2 linked regions of the Mus musculus genome follow. The protein of the gene in region 1 purifies or fractionates together with the protein of each later gene. This does not show direct contact. Links are inferred from orthologs where the notes say so. Each region holds a gene or a part of one and is shown on either strand. Other genes may lie near its edges. The genes, in order: Snap25 and Stx12.

What was found.
Region 2: the proteins of Snap25 (region 1) and Stx12 purify together in Homo sapiens (co-immunoprecipitation; 3 studies listed by BioGRID and IntAct, with this or other methods). This does not show direct contact. The link is inferred for Mus musculus from reciprocal best matches to the Homo sapiens genes SNAP25 and STX12.

What each region holds. Positions count from the first base shown.
Region 1 is NC_000068.7:136,712,484-136,716,359, forward strand, and holds the start of Snap25 (synaptosomal-associated protein 25), read left to right. Parts: upstream 1-966; 5' UTR 967-1,117; intron 1,118-1,159; exon of another isoform or gene 1,160-1,300; intron 1,301-1,389; exon of another isoform or gene 1,390-1,855; intron 1,856-3,876.
Region 2 is NC_000070.6:132,860,187-132,864,001, reverse strand, and holds part of Stx12 (syntaxin-12), read left to right. Parts: intron 1-705; coding exon 706-843; intron 844-1,132; coding exon 1,133-1,176; intron 1,177-3,352; coding exon 3,353-3,458; intron 3,459-3,815. UniProt on the Homo sapiens protein: SNARE promoting fusion of transport vesicles with target membranes. Together with SNARE STX6, promotes movement of vesicles from endosomes to the cell membrane, and may therefore function in the endocytic recycling pathway.

The sequences.
Region 1 (3,876 bases):
AGGGTCGGCCACTGAAAGTGCTTGTGCAATGAGTGACCCTCCAGATTTCAGTACTGTCCTAGCCACCTTCCCCCCACCCCCACCCCCGGATGTCTGGACACGTTCTAAGAAACCCGAATACCGCTCTAGGCCCAGACTGCAAATTCAACCCGCCACAGAGTCATCTATAAGCCCCGGGCAAACAACTCGCAACTCAAAGCCCTAGCCCTGCAAACCCAAGCTAATAGGGCTAACTAGCTTCCCTCTCCCTTTCCCCAACTCAGGTGTTATCTCGGTGATAATTGCTCTGACGTACTTTAAAAGAAAGTGTGAGCCTTTCCCAAACTGGCCATGATTAAATGAGAACTCTAAACCTGCAATGCTGCTTTAATACAATAATTTTCATAAAAATAGCAATGTGAGTAACCTGGTCACGAAAGGAGCTGGTGAGAGCGAGAGCTGAGGGGAATGCCTCTTCGGACCCTCTTCTCTGGAGAAAATAAATCACAACAGAAATCTATGCCAATCCCTCACATCATTACCCTTCTATTCCTTTACCTTCCTCTCGTGTCTGTGACTCAACCAAAGACAAATCATCAGGGGAACGTTTTACATATAAATATGTATATGTTTACATTATTATAATTGTATATACATTCCAAACACACGTATTTACATACATATATTCACATATGCATGCACACGTAAGCAAACGCATAGGCCATCAGGAAAACAGTCGCAAGAAATATGTATTTCCCAAGACGGTGCTAAAATGGAGTCAAAAGAATCGCTCCATTTGGGTGTTTATAAAAGATTGAAATAAAAAGGGTTGCTGCAAAGCGCTCAGGGAGCTGAGTCAAGCGCTCCGCACCTCCCGGCTCCTCCCCTACCGCCCCCAGCCACCTTCCTCCCTCCGCCCTCCCCCATCACACTTCCTCCCCGCCCCTCGAGGAGCCGGCTATTAAAAGCTGCTGACGTCAAAGGAACGGCCATCTTTGATGAGGGCAGAGCTCACGTTGCATTGAAGAAGAAACCTCGGGGAGGTCTGGAGCTGTCTTTCCTTCCCTCCCTACCCGGCGGCTCCTCCACTCTTGCTACCTGCAGGGATCAGCGGACAGCATCCTCCGGAGAAGACAAGGTAAAGAGCCCCCTCCCCCGATCCAGGTCCTAGCCCTGTATGGCTGCATACACAGAAGGGACTGCAGCTGGCAGCCCAAGTGAGCCTGGGTAAATACAAGTATTGGTGCACTTAGGGTGCGGTATTCCCTGTGTGCATATCTACCTAGACTCTCGCCTGGGGCTGCATAAAAGTATTTTCGAGGTGAGCTGTTTGGAGAAGGAGTGAATGGGGACACTACAGATGGAGTGGTGGGAAGAAATAGCGAGGATGTGTACAGAATAATAACTTACTCTTTTGAAGCAGCCGTGGGACCCTCTTCCATCTTGCGATGCAGTTTTGAGATATGTTTAGGTTATTAGGATTGTGGGGTTTTTTTTCTACCTGTAGTCTAAAATTTAAAAGCAAAACACGATCTTGTAGTTCGTTCCAACCCTATGATTATGACTGTAGTGTTTAGGGCACTGCTACCCAAGGGAGATGAGAAGGCAGGGTGTGGGCGCTGGGGAGGCGAAAGGAGAAGGGGGGCAGTTCCCTCCCTGGGCAAGCTGAGCTGCGGCAGCGGCAGCGGCAGCAGCCTCCATGCCCCACAGACTTGATTTATGCCGCCTGCCCCAAGTCAGCTACAGGCGAGCATGTGCTGCAAAGTGGGAGAGCTCTGGAGGTTTGGTGCGGTGGGCTAGACTAGTGGGGGTGCGATGGCGGGAGCTCAGCACCCTGGACAGGAGTGCTCGGCGCCCGCGTCGGCGCCCTGACCTTTCAGCACCGCGGACAGCGATCCGGCTGCAGCGCCGCATTACCTGCTGCAGAGATGCCTGGCTGGGACTAGAGGCCAAATTTTCTCTCTGAGATCCAGGTCTTATAGAAAGTCTTAATAGAGCTCGCATAGTAGATTAAAAGAAAGACAGAAGAATAAATCCTGTCAGCAGGGATTTATTTACAGACAATTGCCTGCTCTCTTCCTCACTTCCCACGTAGCTTCAAGAAAAAGCAGACTACTTGTAGAAGCCTTCTGTATTTCTTCCTGTGCCTTGGTTTAGACAAAAACAAAACAACAAAACAAAACAAAACCATACTTTTAAAAACGGTCACTTATCCTCCATTACGACATATATACTGTAATTTTTTGTATTTAACACAGGGTAGATATATCCGTTGATATTAGGTGGGCTCCAGTGGGCTTATAAGATGATGCTAGTACTATCTATTTATAGGACAGTTCCTTCCCTGTGTTTTTTTTTAATATGGGTTATCTGAACTAGTTTCTGGAATAAATCCCTTTGTCACTTTTCCTTTATTCTTAAAACTAGGTAGAAACAAGCATACACAGCCAAAAGAAAAATTTCAATATCTTTGGCTGTGGTTTTGGAGTTAGTGCATTTCATATTAACATTGGATATGGCAGATTGATTGCTGTAGATGTTGACGTTAAGAATGGTCATCCTTGGGAGAAGTTAAACATGTCCTTCAGGGTTATGAATCGGCTGAAGCAGGAATCTGACCCCCAAGATTCACTGCAATTTCTATTATGGCACTGCAGGATTTTGCTGAGGTCATGATAACTATTTTCTTCTCTGAGGCTTAGAGACTCCGCATGAGCAAAAATTGTCATGATGATAAATATCTGTTTGATTTAGAGTCTCATAATTGTCATGAATGTATCAAGACTAAAATGATATGCTTTCCACAGTTGTTAAATGAGAATAACAGCTTCATATATAAGGATGTATATAATGCATTAAAGACATGCTAGCATGAACCCTTTTAAAGACCTCCTCCCAAAGGTCTTGAATTGTGTTCATTTAGTTATAACTCCAATCATCTGTCTCCCAAAGATACTAAAATTCTCTATTAAAAAGAGTTATTTTATCCCCAGCTATTTATTTGTGGGTTCTCTTTATAAAAATCATGTGTTTCCATGTATGTATATGCTGGCATATTATTGTGTGTAGATGTAAGTTGATCTCAGTGGAAATTCATTCCAGATTATTTAGCTGCATGGGAGTTTATAACTCTGAAATCTTCAGATATAATAAACAACTACGTTTCATTGATGGGAGGTGGAGGGGGGGGGGAGTATGGGGAGGAGTCTTATTTAAATGCTTTGCTGTTATAGTGCAAATCCAGACAGTTCTGCGCAGTTGCGTCAAATGCAAAGCCTAATGCTGCCTGAATTATGTGCTTGAACGTTAGTAATTACTGCTAGGTTTGCTGGATAGTGGAAGATGAAGGAAGGGGGCATAGCATTGCAGTAAAGCTGGCTAAGGTGCCGAGGTGGGAAAAAGAGGCAATATGAGTATTTATATAGCTGAATATATAGGAAAGTTAGCTGAGAAAATAAAAAGAAATGTACCTGTGACGTAGATTTAACATTTTTGTCATGGAAAATCTTCAGAAGGAAAAATAATAAGATGGTTTTTCTTCGTTTTAAAAATCCAGGACAATGTGATGAAGGAGGTGGGAGCAGAGAGGCATATGGAGAATCCAGGAAACATTCCTGCAGATGGTGGGATGGAACCTGCTTGTTTGTTTATTGTTGTTTTCCACATTTAGCATTCTCAGCACAAAATAATGTACAATTTCTACAATCTTTTCATGGTGCAATATCCCTAGAATTGATAATTTAACCTTTACTTTATAAAGCTTTCACAGCTCTAAGGCAAGCTGTCCCTTAATTTGTTAGATGATATTCCTAAACTCTAAAGTTAACCCTGCAGTAAAGGTTATCAGCTGAACAATTGATTTCTCCTCCAATGACGCCTAGCAACTGCATAGCAGCT
Region 2 (3,815 bases), on another chromosome or scaffold:
TTGCAAAATCATTAAAAAAAGAAGAGTCAGAGGAGGAGGAAGAGGAAGAGGAAGAGGAAAAAGAAGAAGAAGAAGAAGAAGAAGAAGAAGAAGAAGAAGAAGAAGAAGAAGAAGAAGAAGAAGAAGAAGAAGAAGAAGAAGAGCAGGAGAGGAAGAAGACATTATTTAAGTCAGATCTGTAGCTCAGAGCAAGTTCTCAGTTTATAGTTTTGAGAGAGATTAGTATAGTGAAGATAGCCTGTAAGTAAATAAAGTTGTGGTTTTTTTTTTTTAAGTTCTTGAAAATTTTAAAACTCAAAAAGAAAAGCTGTAAAGAATAATGGTAATTTTGAGGAAAACTAATTACTTAGTATAGGAAAATGGCTCCAATACCCTCCCTTAAAAAAAAATTAGATGCACTGAGCTCAAAATTCTTTACTATGCATTTAGATTCTCCAGGGACCAAATATTCCAAATTGCGATTCCTTTTGAGTATTGAGGTAAATGCATGTAGCCCCAAGTTTATCAGCGTGCTCTGACCTGGGCCGTAGGGCTAGCTGGGACTGTAATTCAGGAAGGAAACAAACAGCATTTAAGGAAAAGCCGATTTTGTAATAACTTTTGTACTTTGAAATCTCTAAAGTGTGCAATTGTGCTTTTAATCAGTATTAAACCAAATAGTTCTGAGTTCACTTGAGAGTTCAAGTTCTTGTTTACTTTGTTCAGCGCCAGCAGAAGCTTCAGAAGGAGCGGCTCATGAATGACTTCTCGTCGGCCTTAAACAATTTCCAGGTTGTGCAGAGAAAGGTATCTGAGAAGGAAAAGGAGAGCATCGCGAGAGCGAGAGCCGGATCTCGTCTTTCTGTAAGTTCCTTCCCAAGAGAAGGCCTTTAGCAGCCCAGAGGGTGCAGCCCAGCACGCCTCCTGTCTCCACCAGATACCGTGCTTTGTGTTCTCGGTCCAACTGAAAGGCAGATTCACCTTCTCCTATTTCGTATTTGTTTCTTACTCAAGACAGATTGCCAGAGTGTCACTTATAGATGTGGTCGGAGCGGAGGCTGTCACTCCTTAGTACTGTAGCCAAGGCAGCTCTTATTTTGTGTATCTCTGGCATGTTTTTGGATAACAGCAGCTACAACCATCTGTTTTCTAGGCAGAAGACAGGCAGAGAGAAGAGCAGCTCGTCTCATTTGACAGGTAAAAGGTCACTCATCCAACATGCTGGATAGTTACTGTGAGTCCACGCCTTTGTGTCTATTTTTCTTTTCTTCTCTCTCTCTCTCTCTCTCTCTCTCGCTCTCTCTCTCACACACTCTTTCTTTCTTTCTTTCTTCTTTTCTTTTTTGTATGTTTGTGGAGGTTTTACTTGCATGTAATTCTGTGTACCATGTGTATGCCTGGTGCCCACAAAGGCCAGAAGAGAGCTTTAGATCCCTTGAAACTGGAGTTTCAGATAGCTGTGAGCTACCATGTAAGTGCTGGGAATCAAACCTGGGTCCTCTGTAAGAGCAACCAGTGATCTTGACTGTTGAACTGTCTAGTCTCTTTGTGACTATTTTTACTTAAAAATTAAAAAAAAAAAGTCAGGGCTAGTTGTAGTGGCACATGCCTTTAATCCCAGCACTTGATAAGCAGAGGCGAGTGGATCTCTGAATTCAAAGCCAGCTTGGTTTACATAGTGAGTTCTAGGACAGCCAGAGCCACATAGTAAGAACCTATCTCAAAAAGAAAAAAGGAAAAGGAAAAAAAAAGAAAAAGGATCCGGGCGGTGGTGGCTCACGCCTGTAATCCCAGCACTCGGGAGGCAGAGGCAGGCGGATTTCTGAGTTCGAGGCCAGCCTGGTCTACAAAGTGAGTTCCAGGATAGCCAGGTCTACTCAGAAACCCTGTCTCGAAAAACCAAAAAAAAAAAAAAAAAAAAGAAAGAAAGAAAAAGAAAAGAAAGAAAAAGGAAAAGGAAAGGAAAGAAAGCATAAGTAAATAAGATCAGGATTTGAGCCAGGCATGTAGTGCATACCTGTAACCCTACCACTTTAGGGGATGAGGCAAGAAGATCAAGAGAATAGGAGGCAGCCAGGCTACATAGCTTGTCTGTCAAATAAGTAAATAAATAGAGTTGAAGAGATGACTTAGTGGTTAAGAACACTGGCTGCTTTGCAGAGGAACAGGCTCAGTTCCCAGTTCCTGTGGTGGCTCATAGCTGTCTGCAGTCCAGTCCCAGAGGATCCACTGCTGTCTTCTGGCTACCACGTGCCATGCCCAGCTCCATTTATTTTTTTTTTAAAGATTTATTTATTTTGTATATATGAGTACATTGTAGCTGTCTTCAGACACACCAGAAGAGGGCATCGGGTCCTATTACAGATGGTTGTGAGCCACCATGTGGTTGCTGGGAATTGAACTCAGGACCTCTGGAAGAGCAGTCAGTGCTCTTAACCATTGAGCCATCTCTCCAGCCCCCCAATTTTTTTTTAATTTAATAAATAGTACTATTTTTTTTGTAAGTGTACTCACAGCTATCTGAAACAACAGTTTCAAGGGATCCAAAGCTCTCTTCTGGCCTTGGTGGGCACCAGGCATACACATGGTACACAGAATTACCTGAAAAAAAAAATCAAGTTGCAAATATTTTATTAGCTTTTAGTTTGGTTTTCTCTCTCTTTTTTTTTTTAAAGGTTGATTTATTTATTATATGTAAGTACACTGTAGCTGTCTTCAGACACACCAGAAGACGACATCAGATCAGATTACAGATGGTTGTGAGCCACCATGTGGTTGCTGGGATTTGAACTCAGGACCTTTGGAAGAGCAGTCAGTGCTCTTAACCGCTGAGCCATCTCTCCAGCCCCCAGTTTGGTTTTCTCTTAAGTGGAGTCTTTTCCAAGAAAAGTCCTGGAGCCAGATGTGTTTCTGACAGATAAGCTGGTAAAACCCTGTTTGGTGGCTTAGTGTATTTTCCTCCCTTCACTGAGTGCCTCTGGTTCCAGCCCCACTTATACTTTGAGAGTCTCCTGGAAAGCTGAGTCTGTGTAATACATGGAGTCAAACCTCTGAAACCTCTGGATACTTCCTTTGTCTAGCAAATCCTAGCAAGACTGAAACAAACAAACAAACAAACAAGCCTAGGTGGAAAAGGCAGAGGTCTGTTCTCCACAATTCTGCCTCATCTCAGTTTTGCCTGTGGCTGAAGTTTTCTTTTCTTATCACATCTTTGCCTCTGGATGAGAATACGGCCCACGGGGATTTTGTACTGATAGCAGAAGAGTTGGGTCTTGAGTAGCATCTGCCTAGGTTCTGCTGTTAGCAGAGATGTAGTTATGTCTCCTCATACCTTAGAGAGAAGGAGTCAGCTGGAGTGCTTGTCTCCCTGTAGCCATGAAGAGTGGAACCAAATGCAGAGCCAGGAGGAAGAGGCGGCCATCACTGAGCAAGACCTGGAACTCATCAAAGAGAGGGAAACGGCGATTCGGCAGCTGGAGGTGAGAGGCAGGCTATGGCTTTTATTTGGCTCAAGTGTCTGCATATATTAGGGAAAAAATATTTTTTTGCCAGATTTATATGAAAAGGGCTGTGTTAAGTCTTTGTGTGTTTGTGTTTTTTTTTAATTTATTTATTATATCGTAAGTCCACTGTAGCTGACTTCAGACACACCAGAAGAGGGCATCAAATCTCATTAAGAATGGTTGTGAGCCACCATGTGGTTGCTGGAATTTGAACTCAGGACCTCCGGAAGCGCAGTCAGTGCTCTTAACCGCTGAGCCATCTCTCCAGCCCCTTTGTGTGTTTTATATTATCTATAAATTTAGTTGTGGCAAAATTGAACTTCTGCTATGTTC